2 linked regions of the Mytilus edulis genome follow. The protein of the gene in region 1 binds, or shares a complex with, the protein of each later gene. Links are inferred from orthologs where the notes say so. Each region holds a gene or a part of one and is shown on either strand. Other genes may lie near its edges. The genes, in order: BBSome complex member BBS7-like and BBSome complex member BBS4-like.

Evidence for each region.
Region 2: BBSome complex member BBS7-like (region 1) and BBSome complex member BBS4-like share a complex: the UniProt entries of both Caenorhabditis elegans proteins name them as parts of the BBSome complex. The link is inferred for Mytilus edulis from reciprocal best matches to the Caenorhabditis elegans genes osm-12 and bbs-4.

Annotation. Positions count from the first base shown.
Region 1 is NC_092345.1:61,640,868-61,657,044, forward strand, and holds the start of BBSome complex member BBS7-like, read right to left. Parts: upstream 7,714-16,177; 5' UTR 7,627-7,713; coding exon 7,588-7,626; intron 1,750-7,587; coding exon 1,687-1,749; intron 1,006-1,686; coding exon 943-1,005; intron 1-942. Other genes in the region: protein disulfide-isomerase A5-like, read left to right, coding at 7,960-7,995. UniProt on the Caenorhabditis elegans protein: Component of the BBSome complex. The BBSome complex is thought to function as a coat complex required for sorting of specific membrane proteins to the primary cilia.
Region 2 is NC_092348.1:11,237,834-11,253,626, forward strand, and holds the start of BBSome complex member BBS4-like, read left to right. Parts: upstream 1-9,992; 5' UTR 9,993-10,062; coding exon 10,063-10,128; intron 10,129-12,386; coding exon 12,387-12,480; intron 12,481-13,192; coding exon 13,193-13,336; intron 13,337-13,698; coding exon 13,699-13,810; intron 13,811-15,259; coding exon 15,260-15,332; intron 15,333-15,777; coding exon 15,778-15,793. UniProt on the Caenorhabditis elegans protein: Component of the BBSome complex. The BBSome complex is thought to function as a coat complex required for sorting of specific membrane proteins to the primary cilia.

The sequences.
Region 1 (16,177 bases):
TGACAGACATGAGGACCTTTCAAGGTACGCACATATCAAATATAGTTATCCTATTACTTATAATAAGAGAGAATTCAACATTACAAAAAATCTGAACTTTTTTTTCAAGTGGTCACTGAACCATGAAAATGAGGTCAAGGACATTGGACATGTGACTGACGAAAACTTTGTAACATGAGGCATCTATATACAAAGTATGAAGCATCCAGGTCTTCCACCTTCTAAAATATAAAGCTTTTAAGAAGTTAGCTAACACCGCCGCCGCCGTAGCCGCCGCTGCCGCCGGATCACTATCCCTATGTCGAGCTTTCTGCAACAAAAGTTGCAGGCTCGACAAAAAAAATGAAAAATGGTAAAAAACACTTTTTCTAGAGATTTATTGAAATGTGCAAATTTTGAAGGATGAATGCAACTAATTTGACAGACTTTTCTTCTAATTTAAGAAAATCATGATAAATCGTATTCTACGATTGTTTCTTACAAATAAATTAAAAAAATATCTTTTTCAACTTTGACATTAAGGGGAACTAACTCAGAAAATGTAAGTTTTATAAAAGACTGTACTATTTTGTTTAGTTTTATTTTTAAGAAGACAAGTCATGTGACCAATAGTTTTGGCCTGTAATCCATACTTTAAATGATATTTTTAAATGCATGATATAAACTACATTTGAGGTAATATCATTTTTATTTTTCCAATTTTGATACATTTACTGGGTGTAAAAAACATTTTCCTTATTTATAAGGAACCAACTTTCTAAAAAGATCATGCTCATGGAAAGAAAGACAGAAATTACAATCAATCCATTAAATCCATTTTCCCATCTATAACTAATACTAATAATAGAAGCATTTCTTATGACAGTTCTATAAGTCTATATCAAACAAATGGCATTACATTATACTAAACCTCAATAATTTCCATAAATATTTGTTACAAACCTGAGCATCTCCTTTTTTCATCTGAAGACATTGTAATAATCCATCTTGATCACCAACTACAATCTACATCAAAATAAAGAAAAAAACATTCAGTGATTAGTTAACATGTACTATTAGAAGTAAGAACTCAGGTCCTATTTTTTAAGTTTGCTCTTTTCTTTCGTTGGTATTCATATCAACATAATAAAAGCAGAAAGGTTAAGATCTGATAAAGTTCTAAATCTGTTCCAATCTTTCAGTCTTTGGTGGATAGTTGTCTTCAGGGTTCTCACTAAGGCGAGTCCATGAGTCTTGGACTCACCATTTTCAAAACTGGTGAGTCCACAGATGCATCAAGATTGAAATATTTTGTTTAAACTGAACACAGTTAAACACAAATACCATCATTTTATAGCAAAAGTTTAAAAGTGATCTGAATTTAATGTCATGTCATTGCTCTGTTAGGAAATAGAGACTAAAATATTACAATATATTATAATAAGATATTTTCTTCTTGCTGTTGGACTCATCATGGCTAAAAATGACGAGTCCCTGGACTCTCCTTCAAAAATCCTTAGCGAGAACCCTGTTGTCTTATTGTTGGCATTCATACATGTACCACATATCGGTATTTCATATGAACCGAAAATCTGATATTCATTATTTTGTTTAACTTTCCCATACAGTCAATAGTCTCAATCTAATCATCTTTAAAAAAAAATCCTGAGTAGGAACTCTGTAGCTTTAGGTAAATGATAAACTCACCCTTTGCGTTTTGCCTACAGCTCCAGGAAATAACTTTGTTGATTTTTGTGATGTCACTCCAACCTATAACGATACATGTATAAGACATATCAGATTTGTGAAACTGTCAATAAACAAAATATAGATTCTTATTTGACTGGACAATCTGCATGATATGATGGCCAAATAAACTGATAGCTAACCCAACAGGCTCATGTAAATTCACAGATGAAACTTTATATCCCTGCCCCATTAGCTGTCAGGGTTCATGATCTCATATTAAACTTAAATTCTCATATTTGATTTGTTACATACAAAACAAGAATGTGTCCATAGTACACGGATGCCCCACTCCCACTATCATTTTCTATGTTCAGTGGACCGTGAAATTGGGGTCAAAACTTTAATTTGGAATTAAAATTAGAAAGATCATATCATAGGGAACATGTGTACTAAGTTTCAAGTTGATGTAACTTTAACTTCATCAAAAACTACCTTGACCAAAAACTTTAACCTGAACTTTGCACTATCATTTTCTATGTTCAGTGGACCATGAAATTGGGGTCAAAACTATAATTTTGCATTAAAATTAGAAAGATCATATCATGGGGAACATGTGTATTAAGTTTCAAGTTGATTGGACTTCAGCTTCATCAAAAACTACCTCGACCAAAAACTTTAACAGGACGGACGAACGGAGGCACAGACAGACGGACGGACGGACGAACGGAGGCACAGACCAGAGAACATAATGCCCCTCTACTATCGTAGGTGGGGCATAGAAATCCCAAAATGTAAAGAAAAATGTCATTAAAGGGCAACAACTCAAATAACAAGTTGACTGAATATTTTTGGCAATTAGAACTTATATGAGGTTTTGCTATTTTATCATAAATGTTTTTTTGTATATATATATCTATTACAGTTTCCATGATTTTTAATTATATTATTATTATAATTATATATTATATTGTAACACCACCTCTATAATGCCATTAGAGTACATTTTTAATGGAGCACCTCGTATATTTCATTTTTGTTAATTTCAGATATTTGACAGACATGAATGAAACACACACCTTTTGTCAAATTTAGTTTACGATATTTACATGATCATTATGATTAAGTGTCTTTTTTTAAATTGCACTCTGACAGCAATAGCTTCATAAGATATAGATCTGTTACACAGAAATATTCAACTATGCATTTAAAATATTGGGACAGCACTTTCAAATAATGATGAAGATACTGAGAGCTAGTTTGAAAAATGTCAATAGAGATAATACAAATGTAAATATAGCTCAACCTAGAAAATTTGCCACTGAAGGTAGCATAAAAGGTAGAAGTTTTCAATTGCGACTACATAATATGCCCATATGGCCATGAAAAACCTTCATCAATTGATATGGTTTCTGTTTATGCCACAAATCACTGATGATTAAAGGTAAATAACCAATTATAGTCATGATAGTGATTAAAAAAATGTAAAATGGGGGGAAATTTAATTCAGATCTTAGTCTGTTAGTCTAGTTTTAATTTTGTTAAAATATTAAGTCTTAAAAGAATTATTTTTCACAGGTAACACCTGCCTGATTTCTCACCATGCTCACCAGATATAATCATGATAATGCTGGGAATTGCATATATATATATATATATATATATATATATATATATATATATATATATATATATATATATATATATATATATATTACATATTATAGATCTGCTATTAACTTTACAGGATATAGTAAAGGGGGTCTCATTGGGGGGTCGGATCCTTCTTATTGTTTAGTGAGAATCCTGAATCCCACTTCACGTTACTATTATAGTGCATGTAATTTCCCGTGTCCCGTCGTTCTTTGTTTCCCGTTTTCACACTTAATTAGACTTTCATGTGTCACGATTTAAAAAAATCTGCCCATCCCGCATCACACTTATAACACCCCAATGAGACCCTCAGACAGGCACAGTAAATAATTAAAGTTTTCCTCAAGTTTTTCCGACTTCGTTCTCTTTCACAGGTACATGTACAGTGATATGCAGTGAAGTTTAGCATTTGATAGTTCATTGATAACATTCTGGCGTATCATAAACAAACAACTTGTAACGTCTCATTTCATTGGCGGAAAGATTTAAATACAACAGCAATGTAGTCAGTCTAGTCAGTGTGCACGTGAATTGACACAGGTGACCGACAATGGAATTTACTATGTTACTACGAACGTAAAAACAATGATTTGTATAGTTTACAAACCTTTGGCCAAAAGATTTAAATAAATGTTTTGCTAACTTCAAATAGTGAGGTCAAAAAAGTATACTGATATTCTAAGTTCTTTATGCATGCAGCAACTCAATTATCTTGTACCCGGCATGATGTCAGAGAAATATAAGGATAAAATAAAATACATGTGCCGCTTTTATACGGATGAATAAATGAACCACTTTTAATTTCTTTCATACCTACGATAGGTTATAATCCTTACAATGTCGTAGTCACTTATAAAGTATTTCATAATACTGATCCTGCTTTACAATAATTAATGATGGGTTGCACTGACATTCCTCCTTTATTATTGTCATGCTAAAACATACATACAGTAGCTACCATAAAAGGAGGAAGTTGTTCCCCAAAGATAGAAACAAAATAACTAATCGTATCAATTGTGCACCTGAATGAATTCAGTGAAGATTATTTCTTTCGAATGTTTGGAACTAAATAAATATTAATACTTGTGAGGAATGTCGTAGTTTATAAGGAACAACTCCCGTTTAAATTGTTTTTACATTGTCATTTCTGGGCCTTTTATAGCTGACTATGCGGTATGGGCTTTGCTCATTTTTGAAAGCCGTACCATGGCCTTTAGTTGTTAATTTCTGTGTCATTGTGGTCTCTTGTGGAGAGTTGTGGCATTGGCAATCATACCACATCTTCTTTATTACATATAAATGTACTGTTTTCGATTATGAATGTGTGAATATTAATTTTTTAAATTTATACTGTAACAATAGAGTTGCATAACATTGTTGAACAATCCGCTAAAGTATATGTAGTATGTATTCGTATTTGAAATAAAATACAAAACGAAACGTGTATGATAAACTGATAAAAAATATCAAGAAATTAAGGATGACTAAATGTATGTACAAGATGAAACTCACCTTTTTATAAATACATTTAAATGATTTAATGAATACAGACATTGTTTGTTTGTATTTACATAGATATAGGAAGATGTGGTGTGAGTGCCAATAAGACAACTCTCCATCCAAATAACAATTTATAAAAGTAAACCATTATAGGTCAATGTAAGGCCTTCAATACAGAGCCTTGGCTCACACTGAACAACAAGCTATAAAGGGCCCCAAAATTACTAGTGTAAAACCATTCAACTTGGGAAAACCAACGGTTTAATATTTACAATATATAATTTACGTTCGTTTTTTCAACCGAGAATAGCAAAACCTCATGAATTATATCGTTTGTATAAACTTCATTTAATTATCCGCTGTGCCATGATTGGCCATCTCCATTTTTTTCTTAACAAAGCGTGTTACATGTTATGAATTTACTTACAATTTTGGAATTTATTTTTTTCCTTCAAGTTATAATGGAATCAGAAAAAAAATCACTATTCTATGAAGAATATCTAAAACTTGGCAAACAATATGAAAAGTGTTTGTAGTAAAGTATACAGTTTCATTTTTCAAGTACAACGTTAATTCATCGAGTCCATTGAGTAAAAGAGAAGGCAGGATAAGCAACTTGGGTGTGTCAATGAAAAAAAATATGTGAATTGAGGTTTTTTTTTTATCCTACATTAAACTTTTGATGTCGTCCCTTGATTTAGAGGAGATATTTAAATTGAATATTTTAACTGTTAAGATTTTAAAGTTTAAACTTTACTACCAATTAATTGCAGAAAATTATAACACAAATGAATTTCACATGCACATTAAGCTAGAATTGTGATTAGAATCATGCATGCGAATACGACGATAGAAGCTTTAGACGACCTTGACCAGCTACGTGAATATTAATCAGTCCATTCAACGTTAAAGTACGCGTGTTCTATTTTTGCAGGTGTGAGGTCGAAGGTTTGAATTGACCAATGAAAACGATCGTTCCTTAGAGAGTTAATCTAATAAAGTTTGTTTGTCTGATTATGTCGGCTTTCGGGTCGATCCGGCCCCACGTCGATCCGGCCCAAGTCGATCCGTCCCACGTCGATCCGGCCCCACGTCGATCCGGCCCAAATGTAAAGTCGATCCGGCCCCAATAAAAAAAAATATTTCTAAGGAATAAAAATAAATATATATTAATTGTAATTCATAAATGTTTATTATTTTTATTATAATGTTAAAGGTGTACGGTAAAAAAAAGTAAAAAAGGCCTTTGAAAAATATTTTCTTTAGATGAGTATAAAACAACTAGGTTGATTATGTCTTTATTACAAGTTTTTAAGATTATTGGGTATAATTATATTAAAACGTATATAAAAAAATTCAGACATCAACATTAATCAGCAGTAATGTAATTAGCATTTTCTTTCAATTGACTGTGATCCTAACAAGTCTTTCATCTTGTGTAACATATAATAACAAATAGTTACATACATGAACGGTACAAGCCGATCCCCAAGCTGATAAATATTAACTTTTTTTTTTCTTTTTAGGTTCTTGACATTTCTAAAATTGAGAAATGTTGTTTGATTTGCCGAATCCTTTCTATGAACATGATAAAAGGGTGCTGATATTATATTTTAGAGAGTGAAAACGTGCATTCAATGTCATTGTTTTGTTGTTTTCTTGCAATAAAGAATAATGGATACTCATATGACTTCTTTTTTTTTTATCTACACACTATTCAAAATATTGTCAAAATAAGAAAAATATATTGACTATATCCGATGTTACAAAAAAATATTTTTATATGGTATAGAAGCCTATGATGTAACCTGGAAAAAAAATACAAATAATTATTTTAATATACACCAACCAGAAGATCAAACTATAAAGACCTTGTTGAAAAACGGATTACGTAACTTTAATTAATCAGCATTGGATTGAATTAAGTGATTTATCATTACGAGTCGCATTACCTTAGTTCACAATCATCAGACAACTGTTGAATAAACAAACCAATTATAGACTAATGATTTGATTAAATAAGTCATTATTATGCGTTAAATTTTATAGGTCCACTGGACTGTAAATATTTATTTAGCTATTCTGTGTGTGAACTGAATAAAATAAAAATCGCCATGAAATTCAAAGTAAAAGTTATCATGGAAAATAACTTCATAATTTAAAAATGAATAAAACTGCGATACAAACAGACACAATAACACTAATTTCCGTATGGATTTAAAATAGTTCGTTAACTGGTACTCCAATACTTCACTGACCTGTTGTCACCCATCATCAATCGGAGACTTTTTTCAAATTCCATTTATACTGTTAAAGTTTGTGACAAATTCCTCCAAAATCTAGTTAATTCATATTTTATTATGGGGCCGGATCGACTTGGGGACGGATCGACGTGGGCCGGATCGACTTGGGCCGGATCGACTTAGGGCCGGATTGACTTGGGGCCGGATCGGTTTGGGGCCGGAACGACCGGATACCATTATGTCGCACGACCTATCGCGAAGCTTGGCCGCAGTTGGGTATAACACCTCCCTCATATTAAAGTTAGGGAAGCTACACTTTCAAAAAAAATTGTTCATCTAATATAGTTGGTGGAATATAAAGAGTAAACTGTAGCCTATCTTAAACAGTTAAAGCTTGGTATGTTGGTCAAGCAGGAAAAACAATCTGCATCTTTGAGTTTGAGTGCAGCCTTTAAGTATGCATTAATTCTAATTTGAACTTGAACAAAAGATTGACATGTTATCATGTAGATAAATGAAATTCAACCTGGAGGTAATCAACTCGTGATAAGTTTAATTCCATCATCTTGAACGTATTTTGTATTTTGGAATGTTGAATGTTGCCAAGTATAGAACTTCCGGTATTGCTAAGTTATGCATCACGTATATAGTTAAATTTTTTCTCTCTCTTTTGAATAATTCATGGTCGTTGTTTTTAAACATTAATTTGATTCGTGGAAGATATTTTTCATTTAACCATAATTCATTAAGACAACATAATAGTTGTATTTGGAATCTCAGTCATGTCAAATGGAATGTTTAAAAAGTTCGGGAAAAAGGAGATTTTTACCTTAACTGTGAAGAGCTCTACCCAAATGATAAGGCTACCGGCTACATACCAATACGTGGCATTATAAGGATGGCAAGGATATATTTATTGCTTTTAATCTTAATGGTAATGATTTTTTGATACTTTACATTAATTTTCAGGTACCCGCAAAACTTTTGCACCATTATAAATTCAAAATGCATTGTTGATTGAACAAAAATATATCCACTGACTGTCATGCTCTATACATCATTACACAGTCATAGATGTACACATGTTCTTAGTTATGATAAACATGATATACGTGTATATAGTCAAGCATGTCAACAAAATGAATGTAAAAGAATGCTGGCATTGTTTTCTCTATTGACCATCAATGATCAGATACTGAGTCATCTGATACGCATACATTTACTTTCTGAAGCAAATTGTATACAATACATATTTTCAAATAAGGGAATTTCACAGAAAAATCTGCATTAAAAAGCAAGGTTCAGCTTATACAAGGTGTGTTTTGACCCAAAAGTTATCCTAGGTCAACAGCATGATAGGGACATTTGATTCATCATGTTCATAATTAAAACAAAGTCCAAACAAGTCTTTTTTGTACTCATTGGTTTGTAAAACTGCTGTCAGTTTAGGAATTTCAAAGTTCAAATAACTTTGGAATCAGAACATTGTATTTTGATTTATTTAACAGTCAGGGGACTTACTTAAACAAGTGATTTTCTAAATCACTGATTCAAGTAACATTATTTCCATAAAGGTTTGAAGTTAGAGTTGTCTTTCTTTAATAATCACCTATTTAAGTAGTACAAATTAATCACTAGAAGAAGTGATTTAATATTAGTGTAGCTTTAAATATAGAATACTAATGATCCAGGGACTAATTATGTTTCTAAACTTATCAGAACCAACATCTGTGTTGTCTAGGATGACCAGGTCATTTCAGGTGATGACCTTGTACTGAATCTAGGATAATGACATAAAAATCACTTGTTTAAGTGTCAGACCTCAATTTCCTTCCCAAAATCACTTCTTTAAGTATCATTCTTTTAATAACCCCCACTAATTTCAACACCCCCGAACAGTGAAATTTTTATCGCGAACAGTAGAATTTTATTACATAATCTGAAAGATGAAACCTTGAACTTCACAGGAAAAATACTCCCACTGCTGTGAAAAATCTTTGAAGAAAGTATCAGTTCATTATGTAAAGCCATTATTGTAGCATTTTTTCAACTAAAATAGAATTTTCAGGTAAATGATAGCATCAAAGGCATAAACCTTGCTACTTAAAAGAAGCAAAAAGTTCATATTTTTTAATTTTACTAATTAAAAGATGTTATTTAATCCTATGTGTTTAAAATTTTGAAAAAACTACAAAATCCCAATTTGTGACAAAACCTTGAATTTGCTACTCAAATAAGTGATTTAAAAATCACTTATTTCAGTAAGTCCCCTGACTGTTTAAGATAAACTTTAGTTGATATTATTGTTTTTTTAAATACAAAATTATCTGTACATGTATCACAACTTCAGAGCCCAAGGCTGACACTGTCACATGACTGTTTTGTATGTTATCAAGTGGACATGAAGCTGAAATCTGAAACAAAGCAATTTAATAAAATTATAGTTGTTTAAATGAGCCACAGAAAGTACAAATCACAATTTTTAACCCCTACCACAAACTGTTCATATTTAATGTGTCCTTAGAACTACAAAAAAAGTTGAAATGTGACTTAATTTTCAACAAATACATCTACATTAGCATGTTATACATTAATGAAGTTCCTAAGTCATGTAAGTCAATGTAAGTAAATAAAATTTATGAACCAGAACACTTGGATTTGAAAAGTTGAGTAGTGAAATTACTTTAAACATGTTTAAACTTAAATATGTTTGTTAAAAGAAAGTGGTTTAATTTAATGTATTTTGATCAAACTAAGACAATTTCTTGAAAGTAAAGCTGAGATTAGATGCTTTCAGGTTATTAGTGAATTAAGAATATGGTTGTTCACACATTTTGTCAGTCGTGTTAGTAGATAGCATTTATAGAGAGGCAAATTTTTAATAACAAAACTTGTGCTAGACAAATGAAATTGAAGTTAAATATAAGTTATCTCCCTTTGTTCATTATACTTTGTCACTGATACACACGATTATGATTATATGATAGTATTATACTTTTACATTTTAAAATTGGAGAAGAACACACATCCATGTGTGTGTGTACATGTGTTGGTCTTCATGTTCTTTGAGCATGTTAGATGAGATCTACAGCTTAATTAAAATAGGATTACAATACAAAAATGTGCTAATAAATATTGAAGCAGTCTAAACAACAAGCCAGTTCTAATACACTCATGGGTAGTACTTGTACAAGTATTATTTTAAAATATACACATATAAGTTAGTTATAACATATAATGTTTGAATAATCTCCCCTTAATTTTCTCAAAAAATCACTTGTAATTTTTCTTACAATCTCGCAACAATTCTCAAGTTTAGAGATGTAAAATCATGTCTTTAATGATTTTTCCCAGGTTAGCTCATAATTTTTGATAAGAGTTCAATGTTTCATCTCATTATTTCAACAAAGAAACTGATTGTGCAAAGATCTTAAGTATTTGTGCAAGGCCTTCAAAAATTGCTCCTTGGGGCTTGTAAATGAGCAGTGTTCTGAAGATAACAGACAAACAGGATTTTCATTTCCCATGAAATTACACTGAAATGATTAGTAAAGACATCTGCAAAGGGCAGACAAATTAAGATTCTATAAGAGCAAAGAAATCCTAAGAATTCAAGAAAAGAAGATAGGATGACTTTTTTACTTATACAAGTAAAAAAATCTGAATGTGTAAGGGACATAACTAAGCCAATTTTTTTGTTACCTACACAACATGTGCAAGTAAATAAAATTCACTTGTACAAGTATCCTACAAATTAACTTATAAGTGTATATTTATTTTTACTTCCTCAAGTAGTACCCCTGACTGTAATATTATAAGTTGATTTCAGGCCAAAAAAGAAAACACAATACTTGTACATGATGTATCAAGGTTTCCCTACCTATCCTTTTGTTACCATGGTAATGCCTCAAATTGCCTACCCTTAAGTTTTTATTGCTTCTGTTATTGGCAGTAAATCTCAACAAAAATTAAAGGTCTCTCCATGTTTCAAAGGTATAAAAATATTGAGATAGATGAAAAGGAATTAATATGTAGACCTTAATTTTCTTGAGTCATGAATGTAAGTAGGAAATCTGAAATATACATGTATATTGAAACAATACTGTACAAAATTCTAATCTTTTAAATGAAAAACTTTATATTTCCCAAACATTATGAACAATGCCTTCTGAGATAAAGAAGACCACATAAGAGATGAGGTCACTAGGTCAAATGTAAAAGTCATAACATGTCTAAATAAAGTTTTGGTTTTTATAATTTATCTCATAGTCATTTATATTTTTTTAAATGTTAATTGATTTTACAAGTATATTATCAGTCAGGGGACTTACTTAAACAAGTGATTTTCTAAATCACTGATTCAAGTAACATTATTTCCATAAAGGTTTGAAGTTAGAGTTGTCTTTCTTTAATAATCACCTATTTAAGTAGTACAAATTAATCACTAGAAGAAGTGATTTAATATTAGTGTAGCTTTAAATATAGAATACTAATGATCCAGGGACTAATTATGTTTCTAAACTTATCAGAACCAACATCTGTGTTGTCTAGGATGACCAGGTCATTTCAGGTGATGACCTTGTACTGAATCTAGGATAATGACATAAAAATCACTTGTTTAAGTGTCAGACCTCAATTTCCTTCCCAAAATCACTTCTTTAAGTATCATTCTTTTAATAACCCCCACTAATTTCAACACCCCCGAACAGTGAAATTTTTATCGCGAACAGTAGAATTTTATTACATAATCTGAAAGATGAAACCTTGAACTTCACAGGAAAAATACTCCCACTGCTGTGAAAAATCTTTGAAGAAAGTATCAGTTCATTATGTAAAGCCATTATTATAGCATTTTTTCAACTAAAATAGAATTTTCAGGTAAATGATAGCATCAAAGGCATAAACCTTGCTACTTAAAAGAAGCAAAAAGTTCATATTTTTTAATTTTACTAATTAAAAGATGTTATTTAATCCTATGTGTTTAAAATTTTGAAAAAACTACAAAATCCCAATTTGTGACAAAACCTTGAATTTGCTACTCAAATAAGTGATTTAAAAATCACTTATTTCAGTAAGTCCCCTGACTGTTTAAGATAAACTTTAGTTGATATTATTGTTTTTTTAAATACAAAATTATCTGTACATGTATCACAACTTCAGAGCCCAAGGCTGACACTGTCACATGACTGTTTTGTATGTTATCAAGTGGACATGAAGCTGAAATCTGAAACAAAGCAATTTAATAAAATTATAGTTGTTTAAATGAGCCACAGAAAGTACAAATCACAATTTTTAACCCCTACCACAAACTGTTCATATTTAATGTGTCCTTAGAACTACAAAAAAAGTTGAAATGTGACTTAATTTTCAACAAATACATCTACATTAGCATGTTATACATTAATGAAGTTCCTAAGTCATGTAAGTCAATGTAAGTAAATAAAATTTATGAACCAGAACACTTGGATTTGAAAAGTTGAGTAGTGAAATTACTTTAAACATGTTTAAACTTAAATATGTTTGTTAAAAGAAAGTGGTTTAATTTAATGTATTTTGATCAAACTAAGACAATTTCTTGAAAGTAAAGCTGAGATTAGATGCTTTCAGGTTATTAGTGAATTAAGAATATGGTTGTTCACACATTTTGTCAGTCGTGTTAGTAGATAGCATTTATAGAGAGGCAAATTTTTAATAACAAAACTTGTGCTAGACAAATGAAATTGAAGTTAAATATAAGTTATCTCCCTTTGTTCATTATACTTTGTCACTGATACACACGATTATGATTATATGATAGTATTATACTTTTACATTTTAAAATTGGAGAAGAACACACATCCATGTGTGTGTGTACATGTGTTGGTCTTCATGTTCTTTGAGCATGTTAGATGAGATCTACAGCTTAATTAAAATAGGATTACAATACAAAAATGTGCTAATAAATATTGAAGCAGTCTAAACAACAAGCCAGTTCTAATACACTCATGGGTAGTACTTGTACAAGTATTATTTTAAAATATACACATATAAGTTAGTTATAACATATAATGTTTGAATAATCTCCCCTTAATTTTCTCAAAAAATCACTTGTAATTTTTCTTACAATCTCGCAACAATTCTCAAGTTTAGAGATGTAAAATCATGTCTTTAATGATTTTTCCCAGGTTAGCTCATAATTTTTGATAAGAGTTCAATGTTTCATCTCATTATTTCAACAAAGAAACTGATTGTGCAAAGATCTTAAGTATTTGTGCAAGGCCTTCAAAAATTGCTCCTTGGGGCTTGTAAATGAGCAGTGTTCTGAAGATAACAGACAAACAGGATTTTCATTTCCCATGAAATTACACTGAAATGATTAGTAAAGACATCTGCAAAGGGCAGACAAATTAAGATTCTATAAGAGCAAAGAAATCCTAAGAATTCAAGAAAAGAAGATAGGATGACTTTTTTACTTATACAAGTAAAAAAATCTGAATGTGTAAGGGACATAACTAAGCCAATTTTTTTGTTACCTACACAACATGTGCAAGTAAATAAAATTCACTTGTACAAGTATCCTACAAATTAACTTATAAGTGTATATTTATTTTTACTTCCTCAAGTAGTACCCCTGACTGTAATATTATAAGTTGATTTCAGGCCAAAAAAGAAAACACAATACTTGTACATGATGTATCAAGGTTTCCCTACCTATCCTTTTGTTACCATGGTAATGCCTCAAATTGCCTACCCTTAAGTTTTTATTGCTTCTGTTATTGGCAGTAAATCTCAACAAAAATTAAAGGTCTCTCCATGTTTCAAAGGTATAAAAATATTGAGATAGATGAAAAGGAATTAATATGTAGACCTTAATTTTCTTGAGTCATGAATGTAAGTAGGAAATCTGAAATATACATGTATATTGAAACAATACTGTACAAAATTCTAATCTTTTAAATGAAAAACTTTATATTTCCCAAACATTATGAACAATGCCTTCTGAGATAAAGAAGACCACATAAGAGATGAGGTCACTAGGTCAAATGTAAAAGTCATAACATGTCTAAATAAAGTTTTGGTTTTTATAATTTATCTCATAGTCATTTATATTTTTTTAAATGTTAATTGATTTTACAAGTATATTATCAGTCAGGGGACTTACTTAAACAAGTGATTTTCTAAATCACTGATTCAAGTAACATTATTTCCATAAAGGTTTGAAGTTAGAGTTGTCTTTCTTTAATAATCACCTATTTAAGTAGTACAAATTAATCACTAGAAGAAGTGATTTAATATTAGTGTAGCTTTAAATATAGAATACTAATGATCCAGGGACTAATTATGTTTCTAAACTTATCAGAACCAACATCTGTGTTGTCTAGGATGACCAGGTCATTTCAGGTGATGACCTTGTACTGAATCTAGGATAATGACATAAAAATCACTTGTTTAAGTGTCAGACCTCAATTTCCTTCCCAAAATCACTTCTTTAAGTATCATTCTTTTAATAACCCCCACTAATTTCAACACCCCCGAACAGTGAAATTTTTATCGCGAACAGTAGAATTTTATTACATAATCTGAAAGATGAAACCTTGAACTTCACAGGAAAAATACTCCCACTGCTGTGAAAAATCTTTGAAGAAAGTATCAGTTCATTATGTAAAGCCATTATTATAGCATTTTTTCAACTAAAATAGAATTTTCAGGTAAATGATAGCATCAAAGGCATAAACCTTGCTACTTAAAAGAAGCAAAAAGTTCATATTTTTTAATTTTACTAATTAAAAGATGTTATTTAATCCTATGTGTTTAAAATTTTGAAAAAACTACAAAATCCCAATTTGTGACAAAACCTTGAATTTGCTACTCAAATAAGTGATTTAAAAATCACTTATTTCAGTAAGTCCCCTGACTGTTTAAGATAAACTTTAGTTGATATTATTGTTTTTTTAAATACAAAATTATCTGTACATGTATCACAACTTCAGAGCCCAAGGCTGACACTGTCACATGACTGTTTTGTATGTTATCAAGTGGACATGAAGCTGAAATCTGAAACAAAGCAATTTAATAAAATTATAGTTGTTTAAATGAGCCACAGAAAGTACAAATCACAATTTTTAACCCCTACCACAAACTGTTCATATTTAATGTGTCCTTAGAACTACAAAAAAAGTTGAAATGTGACTTAATTTTCAACAAATACATCTACATTAGCATGTTATACATTAATGAAGTTCCTAAGTCATGTAAGTCAATGTAAGTAAATAAAATTTATGAACCAGAACACTTGGATTTGAAAAGTTGAGTAGTGAAATTACTTTAAACATGTTTAAACTTAAATATGTTTGTTAAAAGAAAGTGGTTTAATTTAATGTATTTTGATCAAACTAAGACAATTTCTTGAAAGTAAAGCTGAGATTAGATGCTTTCAGGTTATTAGTGAATTAAGAATATGGTTGTTCACACATTTTGTCAGTCGTGTTAGTAGATAGCATTTATAGAGAGGCAAATTTTTAATAACAAAACTTGTGCTAGACAAATGAAATTGAAGTTAAATATAAGTTATCTCCCTTTGTTCATTATACTTTGTCACTGATACACACGATTATGATTATATGATAGTATTATACTTTTACATTTTAAAATTGGAGAAGAACACACATCCATGTGTGTGTGTACATGTGTTGGTCTTCATGTTCTTTGAGCATGTTAGATGAGATCTACAGCTTAATTAAAATAGGATTACAATACAAAAATGTGCTAATAAATATTGAAGCAGTCTAAACAACAAGCCAGTTCTAATACACTCATGGGTAGTACTTGTACAAGTATTATTTTAAAATATACACATATAAGTTAGTTATAACATATAATGTTTGAATAATCTCCCCTTAATTTTCTCAAAAAATCACTTGTAATTTTTCTTACAATCTCGCAACAATTCTCAAGTTTAGAGATGTAAAATCATGTCTTTAATGATTTTTCCCAGGTTAGCTCATAATTTTTGATAAGAGTTCAATGTTTCATCTCATTATTTCAACAAAGAAACTGATTGTGCAAAGATCTTAAGTATTTGTGCAAGGCCTTCAAAAATTGCTCCTTGGGGCTTGTAAATGAGCAGTGTTCTGAAG
Region 2 (15,793 bases), on another chromosome or scaffold:
TTCAAAGTGGACACTCACAATTACAATTCATCAAATAAAGATATGTTCATAGATAGTCATCAGAGGATCATAAGACATGTCCTAAGATATATCTTATGACAGGTCTAAGGAATGCTTCGTAATACCGACCCCTGGACATTAACTGTATCAAAAAAGGACAAAACACACTAACATGAAGGAATAATAAAATAAAGGGCTGCGCTTTAGCGCATGATACGCCCGTTGCTCTTTTAACTTGTCTTTTATGCTTTAAATGAATTTATATGATCAACTAGAAATATATATACAAAACAAAAGGGATGTTACAATAATATATTCACCAAAGTTTCATAAAATCCCCCTTTTTTAAGTATAAAAATTCAATACTTAAGAAAACGTAAAATCTAAAATTTATAAAAATGGAAAGGGAGCTTATGTCAATAGATATAAACAATTTACCAAAGTTGCATAAAATTTTGTGAAAGTTATTGTCCCAAAATTGGAAAATCCCCCCTTTTTTAAGCATAAAAATTCATAACACTGAAATGTAAAATCTGAAATTTATAAAAATTGAAAGGGAGCTTACATCAATAGATATAAACAATTCACCAAAGTTTCATGGACATTGGTGAAAGCCTTTTTGAGTTATTGTCCGAAGTGTTGAAAATCCCCCTTTTTTTATGAATAAAGCCCCATAAATCCAAAACTTAAAATCTGAAATTTATAAGAATTGAAAGGGAGCTTACATCAATAGATATAAACAATTCACCAAAGTTTCATGGACATTTGTGAAAGCCTTTTTGAGTTATTGTCCGAAGTGTTGAAAATCCCCCTTTTTTTATGAATAAAGCCCCATAAATCCAAAACTTAAAATCTGAAATTTATAAAAATTGAAAGGGAGCTTACATCAATAGATATAAACAATTCACCAAAGTTTCATGGACATTGGTGAAAGCCTTTTTGAGTTATTGTCCGAAGTGTTGAAAATCTCCCTTTTTTTATGAATAAAGCCCCATAAATCCAAAACTTAAAATCTGAAATTTATAAGAATTGAAAGGGAGCTTACATCAATAGATATAAACAATTTACCAAAGTTGCATAAAATTTTGTGAAAGTTATTGTCCCAAAATTGGAAAATCCCCCCTTTTTTAAGCATAAAAATTCATAACACTGAAATGTAAAATCTGAAATTTATAAAAATTGAAAGGGAGCTTACATCAATAGATATAAACAATTCACCAAAGTTTCATGGACATTGGTGAAAGCCTTTTTGAGTTATTGTCCGAAGTGTTGAAAATCCCCCTTTTTTTTATGAATAAAGCCCCATAAATCCAAAACTTAAAATCTGAAATTTATAAGAATTGAAAGGGAGCTTACATCAATAGATATAAACAATTCACCAAAGTTTCATGGACATTGGTGAAAGCCTTTTTGAGTTATTGTCCGAAGTGTTGAAAATCCCCCTTTTTTTATGAATAAAGCCCCATAAATCCAAAACTTAAAATCTGAAATTTATAAAAATTGAAAGGGAGCTTACATCAATAGATATAAACAATTCACCAAAGTTTCATGGACATTGGTGAAAGCCTTTTTGAGTTATTGTCCGAAGTGTTGAAAATCTCCCTTTTTTTATGAATAAAGCCCCATAAATCCAAAACTTAAAATCTGAAATTTATAAGAATTGAAAGGGAGCTTACATCAATAGATATAAACAATTTACCAAAGTTGCATAAAATTTTGTGAAAGTTATTGTCCCAAAATTGGAAAATCCCCCCTTTTTTAAGCATAAAAATTCATAACACTGAAATGTAAAATCTGAAATTTATAAAAATTGAAAGGGAGCTTACATCAATAGATATAAACAATTCACCAAAGTTTCATGGACATTGGTGAAAGCCTTTTTGAGTTATTGTCCGAAGTGTTGAAAATCCCCCTTTTTTTTATGAATAAAGCCCCATAAATCCAAAACTTAAAATCGGAAATTTATAAGAATTGAAAGGGAGCTTACATCAATAGATATAAACAATTCACCAAAGTTTCATGGACATTGGTGAAAGCCTTTTTGAGTTATTGTCCGAAGTGTTGAAAATCCCCCTTTTTTTATGAATAAAGCCCCATAAATCCAAAACTTAAAATCTGAAATTTATAAAAATTGAAAGGGAGCTTACATCAATAGATATAAACAATTCACCAAAGTTTCATGGACATTGGTGAAAGCCTTTTTGAGTTATTGTCCGAAGTGTTAAAAAATCTCCCTTTTTTTATGAATAAAGCCCCATAAATCCAAAACTTAAAATCTGAAATTTATAAGAATTGAAAGGGAGCTTACATCAATAGATATAAACAATTTACCAAAGTTGCATAAAATTTTGTGAAAGTTATTGTCCCAAAATTGGAAAATCCCCCCTTTTTTAAGCATAAAAATTCATAACACTGAAATGTAAAATCTGAAATTTATAAAAATTGAAAGGGAGCTTACATCAATAGATATAAACAATTCACCAAAGTTTCATGGACATTGGTGAAAGCCTTTTTGAGTTATTGTCCGAAGTGTTGAAAATCCCCCTTTTTTTTATGAATAAAGCCCCATAAATCCAAAACTTAAAATCTGAAATTTATAAGAATTGAAAGGGAGCTTACATCAATAGATATAAACAATTCACCAAAGTTTCATGGACATTGGTGAAAGCCTTTTTGAGTTATTGTCCGAAGTGTTGAAAATCCCCCTTTTTTTATGAATAAAGCCCCATAAATCCAAAACTTAAAATCTGAAATTTATAAAAATTGAAAGGGAGCTTACATCAATAGATATAAACAATTCACCAAAGTTTCATGGACATTGGTGAAAGCCTTTTTGAGTTATTGTCCGAAGTGTTGAAAATCTCCCTTTTTTTATGAATAAAGCCCCATAAATCCAAAACTTAAAATCTGAAATTTATAAGAATTGAAAGGGAGCTTACATCAATAGATATAAACAATTTACCAAAGTTGCATAAAATTTTGTGAAAGTTATTGTCCCAAAATTGGAAAATCCCCCCTTTTTTAAGCATAAAAATTCATAACACTGAAATGTAAAATCTGAAATTTATAAAAATTGAAAGGGAGCTTACATCAATAGATATAAACAATTCACCAAAGTTTCATGGACATTGGTGAAAGCCTTTTTGAGTTATTGTCCGAAGTGTTGAAAATCCCCCTTTTTTTTATGAATAAAGCCCCATAAATCCAAAACTTAAAATCTGAAATTTATAAGAATTGAAAGGGAGCTTACATCAATAGATATAAACAATTCACCAAAGTTTCATGGACATTGGTGAAAGCCTTTTTGAGTTATTGTCCGAAGTGTTGAAAATCCCCCTTTTTTTATGAATAAAGCCCCATAAATCCAAAACTTAAAATCTGAAATTTATAAAAATTGAAAGGGAGCTTACATCAATAGATATAAACAATTCACCAAAGTTTCATGGACATTGGTGAAAGCCTTTTTGAGTTATTGTCTGAAGTGTTGAAAATCCCCCCTTTTTTATGAATAAAGCCCCATAAATCCAAAACTTAAAATCTGAAATTAAAAAAAAACGAAAGGGAGCTTACGTCAATAGATATAAACAATTCACTAAAGTTTCATGGAAATTGGTGAAAGTGTTTTTGAGTTATTGTCCGAAGTGTGGACGACGGACGGACGGACAACGGTATACCATAATACATCCCGTCTAAAAGACGACGGGCGTATAAAAAGTTATGAAAATGTTATTGTGGTCAATATCATCTGTAGCGATAATAGAAACATATCCTTATTTTTCGATTTTGTACAAGTTAAAACCATTTTTAAGCAATCTTTTGTACAGGTTATATAACGTGTATGGTGTACTTTTGTACATGTTATAACTTGTATTTTTGCATTATGCAAGTTATAACATGTACAATATTTTTGTACATGTTATAACCTGTACAAAATCGCAACTTGTACACGACATATATACTAGGACCAATTCATTTAGTTTTCACTCTTTATCTATATATATGTCGTGTACAAGTTGCGATTTTGTACAGGTTATAACATGTACAAATATATTGTACATGTTATAACTTGTATAATGCAAAAATACAAGTTATAACATGTACAAAAGTACCTCATACATGTTATAACCTGTACAAAATATTGCTTAAAATTGGTTTTAACTTGTACAAAATTTAATATAAATCTTAATGAAGTAAAATATACATTTAAATTCACCAATGCATAAAGAACAACAATGAATAGGCCAGAACGAGTCTTTTTCTGTAGAGGACAATGATCACAAAGTTTCAGAAATATATGTATCATGACTTATGTTGGCAAAATGTGTTTTCATATAATTCTATGTTTTATGCAGTCCATCATGGCTTAAATAAGTGTTAAACTATTTACTAAAAGCTTGCATTCCTCTATGACAATTACATTAGATACTAGTAACTAAATTCTTCCAAAAAATTTAAGAAGGATTCCTTATAATTTTGGCAAATACTCCTCCCTCTCGTTTTTATAGCATGCAAAGACTAAAACAATATATTATATGCTTACTCTGTAAAAGTAAGAGAGAGCTGAAATAGTTTTCATTGGACCACGCTTCATTATCAATATCTTTGGATCTACTCTTCAACATTTTTGGCCTTCAGCATGACTTATGTAAATTTATAACTCAATTTTTGTTTATAAACTATAAGATCATTGCATGAGGCGAATGTCATTTTGATGTTTTAAATATATATCATCTACTTTGAAAGCATGTATTTGTGGCCTTTGGATGTTGTCTGCTCCATGGGCAGGTTGTTGTCCTTTAGACACATACCCCATTTCAATTCCCAATTTTATTTGTAGACACATCTATCCTGGCTATCCTCTTATGTCTTTAAGTGTCAACTAGAAAGAAAGTATTTTGCTATTGCCTTCAAAGTGGACACTCACAATTATAATTCACTAAATAAAGATATGTCCATAGATAGTCATAAGAGGATCATAAGACATGTCCTAAGATATGTCTTATGACAGGTCTTAGGAATGCTTCGTAATACCGACCCCTGGACAATAACTGTATCAAAAAAGAACAAAACACACTAACATGAAGGAATAATACAAAAGTTATGAAAATGTTATTGAGGTGAATATCATCTGTTGCAATAATAGAAAAATATCCTTATTTTTCGATTTTGTACAAGTTAAAACCATTTTTAAGCAATATTTTGTACAGGTTATAACATGTATGAGGTACTTTTGTACATGTTATAACTTTTATTTTTGCATTATACAAGTTATAACATGTACAATATTTTTGTACATGTTATAACCTGTACAAAATCGCAACTTGTACACGACATATATATCCAGAAGTTTTTCTTTTATTTCAATATACTCATTTATGTATTGTTTTTAAAGAAAATAAATGTATGCCTTTCCAAATGACAAATGTATAAAGAAATTTCAATATTCCTTTTTTTATTTTTGCTTTATATTTAAATGCATCAAATAAATTTAAGCAGACATGATTTGTAGAACAGAATGCAACCCTCTGTCGCACCGTGAAAAGTCGTAAGGTTGTAAGTCACTGGCGTTGATGGAATATGCTCCTAAACTTGGCCTGCTACAAATCAAATCATGCACATGGGTCTATTTTGTTAGATGAGGGTTGGAAGGAGGAACAATTTGATAAATAGAATTGAATAAATATATTTAGTTGTTTTCTTGAACCTTTACAATTCAATCACAAAGACACTACACAAATGTGCTTTCAATATACACTGTGATAAGACTGAGAGAAAAAAGTGCTATTAAAGGAACAAATTACAGCCGCACAATAAAGATCGAATGGAGGAATTACTCATTGACATAATTAGTATAAAAAATGATATGGTAACATCCTATATAAAAGGCGTAATAATTTGCATAAAGCAGTGCCATGGAAAGATAAATAATTGGAGGACAAATAAAACCACGCACAAAAAGACGATTAACAAACAGTCCACAAGACATTACAATCAACACGTGTGTGAAAATGTTTATGTTAAACGAAGAAGTATATCAATAGGCCAATATTTCTCATAGTTAAGATTTATACATCTTGGATTTTTTTTTCGAGAAATATTAATACGAGTTCGTTGATCGATGTGGAATACCTGTTTCACAGATTAATCAAGGGCGTAGCTAGAAAGAAACGATGTGGAAGCAACTACCGCCGAGCGGAGCGAGGCGAAAAAAATTTGGGACCCTATTATGCAGCAAATTTTTTTTTTCGGTTTTCGGTCATAGGACGGTTAAAAGAGGAGCTATATGTAGATAAAAATTTATGAATGTAAAACTATTAATAAATCTTCTGAATATAGTAATACATAAACAACACATAATTGTGATACAGAATTTACTCAAAATTGTCCAAAATCTGCTCTTCGGGTCTGGTCAGAAACAAACTTCTCTATTACTTTGTCAACATTCACACTGAAATCCCGATGAATATGCAGTAATGCTATGTAACTTTCGTTGTTCATTGTTGATCGTACATTTGTTTTCAATTACATACGTAGTACCGTGACTGATAGATCTCAGGGCCATCATGGCATGCTAGCACTCGAGAGATGTTATAAACCAGCGTACGTGTTCGGCATCGAGCGACCTCCCAATTGAATTCGTCAAAATTACATGCTAGGTCAGTTTCGTATGTTTCAGACAATATTGAGATTTGTTCGTTTGTGATATTTCCTACAACACGATGAAGCAGATACAGCACAAAGAAGCGATTTTCTGATAGCTTGACGCGACCCCACTCTCCAGTTGCCTTATCAAATGGTCTATTCTATGAACGCAAAAAATAATGAGACTTTCCAATACTGTTTTGGCGTGGTTGCAGGGTGATTGGCTCCGGTAGTCTGTCAACCACATCGCCTCGGCATATTTTCAACGATATCGAAGGGATCTGATAATTCTAATGCCGATTGGTACATCTCATTCCAAACTGATGAACTGTACACTGTAAAATGTGCTCCAAAACTACATATCTTAGACTGAGTATTACAAATTCAAAAGTAAAAATCTTGCAAAAGATACAAGTACCCTTCCGATTTTGTCATAATCTCCAAAAACAAACCCAATTATTTTGAAACCAAATGTCGTTATTTAATGATATTTCATCAATTAAAAAAAGTGACAACATAGTTGTTTCCTTTAACATTCAATTTATAAATTTTTATTTTGCCATTTCTTTTTTTGTATGCCGAATCAATGTGCACGCAACTTCGGAGCTAACGTTACGATCATTTTCTGAATGAACAGCTTCATCAACACTTGTAACTAGGTTGTCAAACTAATATCCGGGATAGACAGAAAAGACACCAACAGTCTCCGATTCCGATTGATCAACATATCTCTCTCTCTTCTGCTTTTTTTTTTTTTTTTTTTTTTTGTGAAAACGACGTGGATGCACGTGCTGTCGTGCCTCCGGGTAGCTACGCCCCTGTAATAATACGTACACTTTCTAATTGACCGGGGCACCTGATATATTCCCAAGTTTTCTTTTTTGGGTTTTAGTTTTGGTGGATTCGTGCTGCTTTAGATTCCTATGTTTATTGTTGTTTTTTTGTTGTTTTTTTTTTCATCCTCTTTTTTTATTATTATTACTTTCCATGGCGTAGTCCGTTGTTCTACGACTACACGTTTTGAGCGTCCCTGTGTATCATCCGCCTTTATTTCTTTTTTTACCGTACGGCCTTCAACAATGAGCAGAACTCATACTGTAGCAAATGCATAAAAATCCAGAAAAACGCCTCTTGCTTAAATTGACTAGGTGCAAGGACGATTTCATTAATGAATGTTGGTCTCTTCTGCTTATTATTCGAATTTGGAAATGTTTCTTGAACTTCTATGGTTTAGCTCAATACTTGTACTGAATTTGCATGTGTTGTATACTTTACGGCAAGTTGGAAAAAACTTGAAATTTGGTTGTTGGTCCGAATTTGTCAAAAGAGGTTATATAAAAGGGACACAAATAGAAACTTGGGCACGGTAGTTACGTTATACAGATTGGAAGCCATGATATTTTTTCACTCAAAAGGTGCAAATAATGGTGCTAAATTCGAGATACGAATAGATTAGCATATTTTAAGCTCAGAATATTTACATACGGTATATTCGACTTGGTATAGATAAATGAGAGGAGATGTGGGGTATACTCCAATGTGACAGCAATCCAACGATTTACCAAAAGACAACCAAAAGTCCATGTTCTATCTTTACTAAACGTTCAAGCTCTAAGTCTCTCCATATCCCAAAAAGTGGTGAGTAAATTAAAGGGGGAAAATGAATAGAAACTATCAAAGATCTGAAGAAAAAAACTTTACTTACCAAACCAAAAAAACATGAGAGAGACCTATAACTGTTTTAGACAAACAGATTTCATAACTGTTAGTATAACACTAGAAATGTATTATGATTGCAAATGAGACAACTAGTATACAGATCATCAGTTTTTTTTTTATTTCAATGAATTATAAAGCTATTAAACAGATTGTTTTTGCGATACAGTGTGATTTATTAATCAAAATAGTATTTTATAAGCCAGGAACCTGCAGTAAAACGAAATTAGTCTACAGTTTCAGATTATAAATAATGAAATAAGCCTCAGCACATAATTTCACTCCGATTTATCGAGGGAACCTCAAACATGTTTACCATCTGCCTTATTAGGGATCAATAATTCTGAAATATTTAGATTTAAAATTTATTTGCTGTTATTAGTTTAGAAAAAAAGTTCAAAATACTTTGTTTAAAATACTTTAGTTATTGAATTTAGGTGATTTAATTTTTTTGTTGTAACAATTATAACATTTTAATTATAAACATTTTATTTATATGCAACAAAATTTCAACACCCCAGAACATGAAATATATAGTTGATTCAATATTTCACAGCTTGAATTTCCTTAACAGAGTGGTTGCTGCTTACAAGGATTCAAACTGATTAAGTGGACGGCGCCCTTTGTTATTTAGATTGTTAAGTTTTCCATTTTGTGCTTTGTAGACTGCCGGCTGACTTTGTCTGTTGGTTCGTTTTTAACATGGTTTTGTCCCTTTGTCTTTGACTATGAGTTTAGTATCCATAAGGTATCTTCTGCTCTCTTTTAAAAAATGTAAAAATGTAAAATGTACACACTTATTGACATTTTTTATTGCAGTAATGTTGAACTTATTGTTTTCTCTTACCATTCATGTGAATGTTAACTACATTGATATGCACTGTATTCTTAATAATGTCGGCTGAACCAAACGAATTTGCATGTATGTCCTTTAAGTTGTGCAACTGTATTTTGTTATGGTGTTGGGCGATTTGCCAGCGGGCGAGCTGTCTGGCTTCCACAGTGATTTATAATAAAAGTTAACAACGAATATACGAACAAATAATGGTATTTCGTATTACTACATGAAATCATATGGTGTCCTGTATGATTCTACATCTATAACATAACATACAAGACTTATTTAAAGTCGGTTATACATATAACAATACAACATAAGCTTTGTAGAGACTATAGTGGGGCGATTTTATATAAAGTGGGGCGAGTTGGTGAAAAAGTGGGTCGATTCGGTGTGGTCGATTTGCGGTGGGGCGAGTTGTCTCAAGTTGCTTCCACGTCGATATATTAAAAATAATACCAAAATAAAATAAACGGCAAAAAAAAACCAGAACAAATAATGGTAGAATCTCATTAGTATTGCTACATAAAATAGTGGTCTGTATGATTCTACATCTATGAATATCATGTTCATTCATATCGGATGGGTTAATTATTGGTACGTTATTATGCGTTGTTAGATATAATTGTTGGTCGTAGTCTTCACTGTAATGTTCGAGTGTTATATCGATTTAAAATATTGATGACTTCGAAATATTCAGTATTGGAATTTTTTGGAAAAAAGAAAATAGCTCTATTATTTTGAATTAATATATATTCAGGAATTATATATTCAACAAAGTTGTAAACACGAAAGGGATTAAATGATTTTTTGGTTGAACTCCCAAACTAGAATTCGAACAAACCTCTGTAACTATTCCTAACAATATGGCCGATGGAGTGCGAGAAGGCAGTCCACTGCCAGATAAAACTGTACTTACAGAAGTAGTTCAGGTATAAATAAGAAATATGTTGCTGTAAAATTCAGTTTCCATGTTATATTATCACTGTATATAAATCAATTGGCAGTCACTGCAAATACAAATACAATATAAATATTTCATTAGCACAAACTCATCAACAATAATAATATTAAATGGTAAAGGCTCATGGTATACATACCTGCCAACTGTCACTATTTGCGGGAGATGAGTGGGTCTTTTCACCGCCGAACACCACCACACACCACCGAACACCTGAAAAACCACCAACCACTAAAAACTTTGATATTATACAATAAAACGATAAAATAAATTAAATTACATATAATTTAATCAATTTTTCGATTTTTATGGGCATCATTTTTATGTTAAAATCGAAAATCAATACAAGAAAAAACGTCTCCGGATTCATCACTTTCAGGATTACATTGTGTGTTATAAAATTCAAATATATTCATAATCAGTAATCAGTTCAAGTATCCTGGATCTCTATTCATTGGTTAGATTTTTATATTTTTCTCTTTTATTATTATCGGTACAACTATTTTATAGAAGAGTTAGAAGAAGAAAAAATGGAAAAAGTATATTTGAAATGTCCATGAGGGTCAGCGGAGTTCAAAAAGTTGGGTGTTACAAGACTCTTCCTTTCTGTTTTCTGTAGATATTCGGACTTTAAATCTTCTTATTTGTTGAATTAATAACTTGAATATCATATTTAATTCACATTGATAACGATAAAAGACCAAATAATAAACTTTTGGGGTGTTCGGTGGTGTTCGGCGGTGTACGGTGGTGTTCGGTGGTGAAAAGACCTACCGGCAGGAGATTTCCTCCATGGAGGCTCCCAAATGAAAATTTTGAAAGAGCAATTTTTTCACCAATTTTAAACAAAACAATTAATTTTACAATGGCTATAGGCTTGTAAAAGTATGAAGAGGCCAAAAAACAACTATCGTAAAGTGGTTTTACTAAAACTGCATGTAATATAACAAAGACGTCTAAACTGGATGAATTTGTATTGATGACTGAAGTACAAGATAACGTCATAAGTAAACGACGTTGGATATACAATAATGAATGCCGCGTTACGTTAACGTTCTCTTCTGTGCGTGATTTCCAACAACAACATTTAAATGTATTTGAAGGCCTTCTTTAAGGATTTGTAGAATTATATAAGAGCCATCATGCACGTAAAAAACCCATGGGCATTTCGGAAAGTTGGCACTGGCAGGTACACATGTATGGGTATATCATCTACATAGTTGGTCAAACATAAGAAGTATTGCAAATAATGACTATATTATATTAAATATGTAATATTATAAGGCCTAAAAAAAAAAATCTGTGTTTCCGGTAACATCATTTTGAAAAACAGGGTCAGTTGATAACCATTTTTTTTTTTTTTTTTGAAGATCCAATAAAAAAATTTGGGTCGGGGCTAAAAAACAGGGTCGGTCTGGTTACCGGAAACTCAGATTTTTTTTTTCTCGGCCTAAACAATGATTATTGATTAGACATATTGACAATTTTATAAAGTTTGTTCTGCTTTACGCAGGTTCAGACTGTCTGAAATGAAAGAGGAAGTCAATTTTAGGATTGTGTATGAATTATTATTTAACAAAAAGATTATATTATTTTCATGTTTTTGAAATTTTGTAGGATCAATGATTATATTTGAAACTTTCTGTTAAAATATGGCCCTTTTAGTTGAGTATTTTTCACAATGTAAAAGAAAATGTTTTTCATTTTCAATTTGACCAGAATTACATACAGAGCAGTATCTCTCATTTCTGGGAATATTTAGATGTCTCCCTCTTTCAATCATCAGTATATGAGCGCTTATACCTTTATTACATATATCATGTATATTGCAGCTCTGTCACTTCTGTTTTTCAATATATCAACATAGGGTGGTCTTCTGCCCATTATGTAGACACTCTTGAACAAGTCTAACTTGGCTAGAAGAGTGTATGAAAAGACACTTTTTATTAGTATTTTTAAAAACACTAAACAATTCTATACATGTACATTGTACCTTGGCATGAATCCTGGTCCGTTCGCCAAAATCATGTTTGCTCCCATTCTCGTTCTCAGCATAGGGGGGTAGGAGGGGTCCTGAGCCCAAAATTCAGGACTTAAAAACATGAAATAGGAAGTCCCGAATTTAAAAAATCTAAATCCCACCATCCCAAAATTTGAAAAAACAAATTCTCGGATCCTGAAGATATTCTTTCCAACTGACTTAGTTTTAATAGAGTGTTCCTTTTGTAGGAGCCAGTGAAGATAGCAGGAGCATCAGACATAGACACCTCCTCTGATGTACCAAGTATACCAGCTGGTCCTCCCAAACCTAAACCAAAAAGAGGTATAGAATACATGTACACTTGATATTACTTGTATTTAACTTTATTATAGTATATATTATTTGTATTAAACAAAAATAGATTTTATGCATAAAATAATTACATTCAATGGCAATGCTTCTGCATCAATCATCCATGGTTATGATGATGATAGAGATAACAAATTGGTTAAGCATTAAAGCGCTATCTAAATAGTCAGGATAAAATCTCAAAATTAGGCCAGTTTAAGATGTTTAAAGTTCTAATGCCTATGTTTAAGGCAAAATTCTAAAATATTTTTATACTGATGTCTGTCAGACTGGTGACTTATGAGCATCTGTAGAATTTTATTTAATATATTTATCTTACTTCTTGATTTTGGTGAGTTATTGCATTTTGAATTGCTTGCATATTGTGTTTGCATTCTTCTGATTTTGTAGATGAATCTTTAAGTTTATCTTGATTTCCGTCTATCTCTGTCTATTGATTAATTTTGGTTTTCATTTTACAGTAAGTAAAATTTAAAGAAATGTTTTGTAAACTCCATCCTTATGATCTCCACTTTTGCTGGTGTGAATTCTGTATTAGGCACTGTTTTAATGTAAAACTAAGGAGATATTGGTTGAACTGACAATGAGACTTCTGAACACCAGAAACAAAAGGATGTTCATGTAATCAAACTTAGATTTAAAGAAAATATTCTAATTTTACTGAAGTTCTTTACTTTATTTATAGCACCAGAACTACCAATATTTGAGAGAAAGAATTGGTTGATTCATCTTCATTATGTCAGGAAGGAGTTTGATACATGTAAATCACTCATCAAAGAATCAATGGCCGAAAGTGGGGGCATGTGTGAATATGCTGTGTATGTCCAAGGTAGGATTGTTATGTAGTTTTATATACCAGTACTTTTGACAGGGAGTCTAGCTACATGTAGATAGAACTAAATAAGAGTTGGAATAGAAATATGCATGTAAAAAAAAAATATTTATACATTTGATAAATTTTTCCTGAATTTCATTAGTGAATATTGTATTATCACTTTAGTAGCAATCTAATAAGTTTTTGCAATGTTGCCACTGTAAAAATTAGCAGATATGCATGAGCCAGTGCTGTTTATCATGTATGTATTATTTCATTTTTTTATGAAGAAAACTTTTATAATACTTGTATTAAAAATTAAAAAAAACAACATATAAATTGAAAAATCTTCTGTTATTACATAATTATATTTTCAGCATTGATATTAAGACAGGAAGGTAGGATACAAGAATCTCTAGAACTGTTTCAGACCTGTACACTACTAAATCCTCATAGTGCTGATAATCTGAAGCAGGTAGCAAGATCACTGTAAGTCATAGTTTCATCTAGATCATGAATACTATATTAAGATTCACAACTAAAATTATTTTAAGGATTTTATTTTTAATAAACTTCAGTAGTATGAAAAAGAATCTTTAGAAATATCAAAATTGAAATGAAAAACTTGACACTAATGTGTACAAACATTTATTTACTTTAATGATGCACATTGATTTAGTTTAGAATATTGGTTTAAATTCATTTCAACACCAAATTGAAAAGTTTGTATTTATTCGAACAATGTGTTTGATTTTTTATTCAAAGGAAATGGATTTAACCTTGATTGTTCTAATTTTTGTCGAGCCTGCAACTTTTGTTGCAGAAAGCTCGACATAGGGATAGTGATCCGGCGGCAATGGCGGCGGCTACGGCGGCGGCGTTAGCTCACTTCTTAAAAGCTTTATATTTTAGAAGGTGGAAGACCTGGATGCTTCATACTTTGTATATAGATGCTTCATGTTACGAAGTTTCCGTCAGTCACATGTCCAATGTCCTTGACCTCATTTTCATGGTTCAGTGACCACTTGAAAAAAAAGTTCAAATTTTTTGTAATGTTGAATTCTCTCTTATTATAAGTAATAGGATAACTATATTTGATGTGTGCATACCTTGCAAGGTCCTCATGCCCGTCAGACATTTTTCACTTGACCTCGACCTCATTTCATGGATCAGTGAACAAGGTTAAGTTTTGGTGGTCAAGTCCATATCTCAGATACTATAAGCAATAGGGCTAGTATATTCGGTGTATGGAAGGACTGTAAGGTGTACATGTCCAACTGGCAGGTGTCATCTGACCTTGACCTCATTTTCATGGTTCAGTGGTTATAGTTAAATTTTTGTGTTTTGGTCTGTTTTTCTCATACCATATGCAATAGGTCTACTATATTTGTTGTATGGAATGATTGTTAAGTGTACATGTCTAGCGGGCAGATGTCATGTGACCTTGACCTCATTTTCATGGTTCAGTGGTCAAAGTTAAGTTTTTGAGTTTTGGTCTTTTTATCTAATGCTATATGCCATAGGTCAACTATATTTGGTGTATGGAAATATTTTATGATCTTAATGTCAGTCGAGCAGGTTTTATTTAACCGTGACCTCATTTTCACGGTTCATTGCACAGTGTTAAGTTTTTGTGTTTTGGTCTATTTTTCTTAAACTATAAGTAATGTGTCAACTATATATGTTGTATAGAAGCATTGTTAGCTGTACCTGTCTGCCTGGCATGGTTCATCTGACCTGGACCTCTTTTTCAAGGTTCATTGGTCTTTGTTTAGTTATCTTGGTTAATGTAAAGTTTATGTGACAGTTGTAATAAAGCTTAGATTTATACTTAAGACTATCAACATAATATCAATGATTAGTATAGAAGGCGAGACATTTCAGCGTGTGCACTCTTGTATATCTAAAGATAGTTTCTGAAACTATTTTAATGAACAGATTCCTATTGGCCAGACACAAAGCTGCCCTTGATGTTTATAATGAAGCCATAAAACTAAATGAGAGAGATTGGGTAAGTTGTTTAAGTTTTAACACATCACAGTTATAATTTTCCATATTTTGTTTTTAGATGACGAAAAAGGAGTATTTCATTGTTGTTTTTAAACAATATGAATAGGGGAAAAGTATAGTGAACCATTAAATTTGCATAATCTTTTCATAATTGTTGATTCTGTAATGTACAAATGTAATATTAACATCTATTTTGCCACTGAAGCTTTCAATTAATTTTTGTTTAAACTGAAAGTTTTACATACTAATTTTTTTGATTGTCAGGGTTGAGAAATTGAAAGTCAATTTGTGTTGTTCTGGAGTTACCTCCCATATAAGTGTAAAATTAGATTGAGTTGTCTCCCATATTGTGACTACATAAAATCTAACTATAAATTATGAAATAAATTTATTCATGAGAAATACAATATGCAGTATTCTAATTTGGATGTTTTAAATATTTACAGGAAATAGCTCACAACC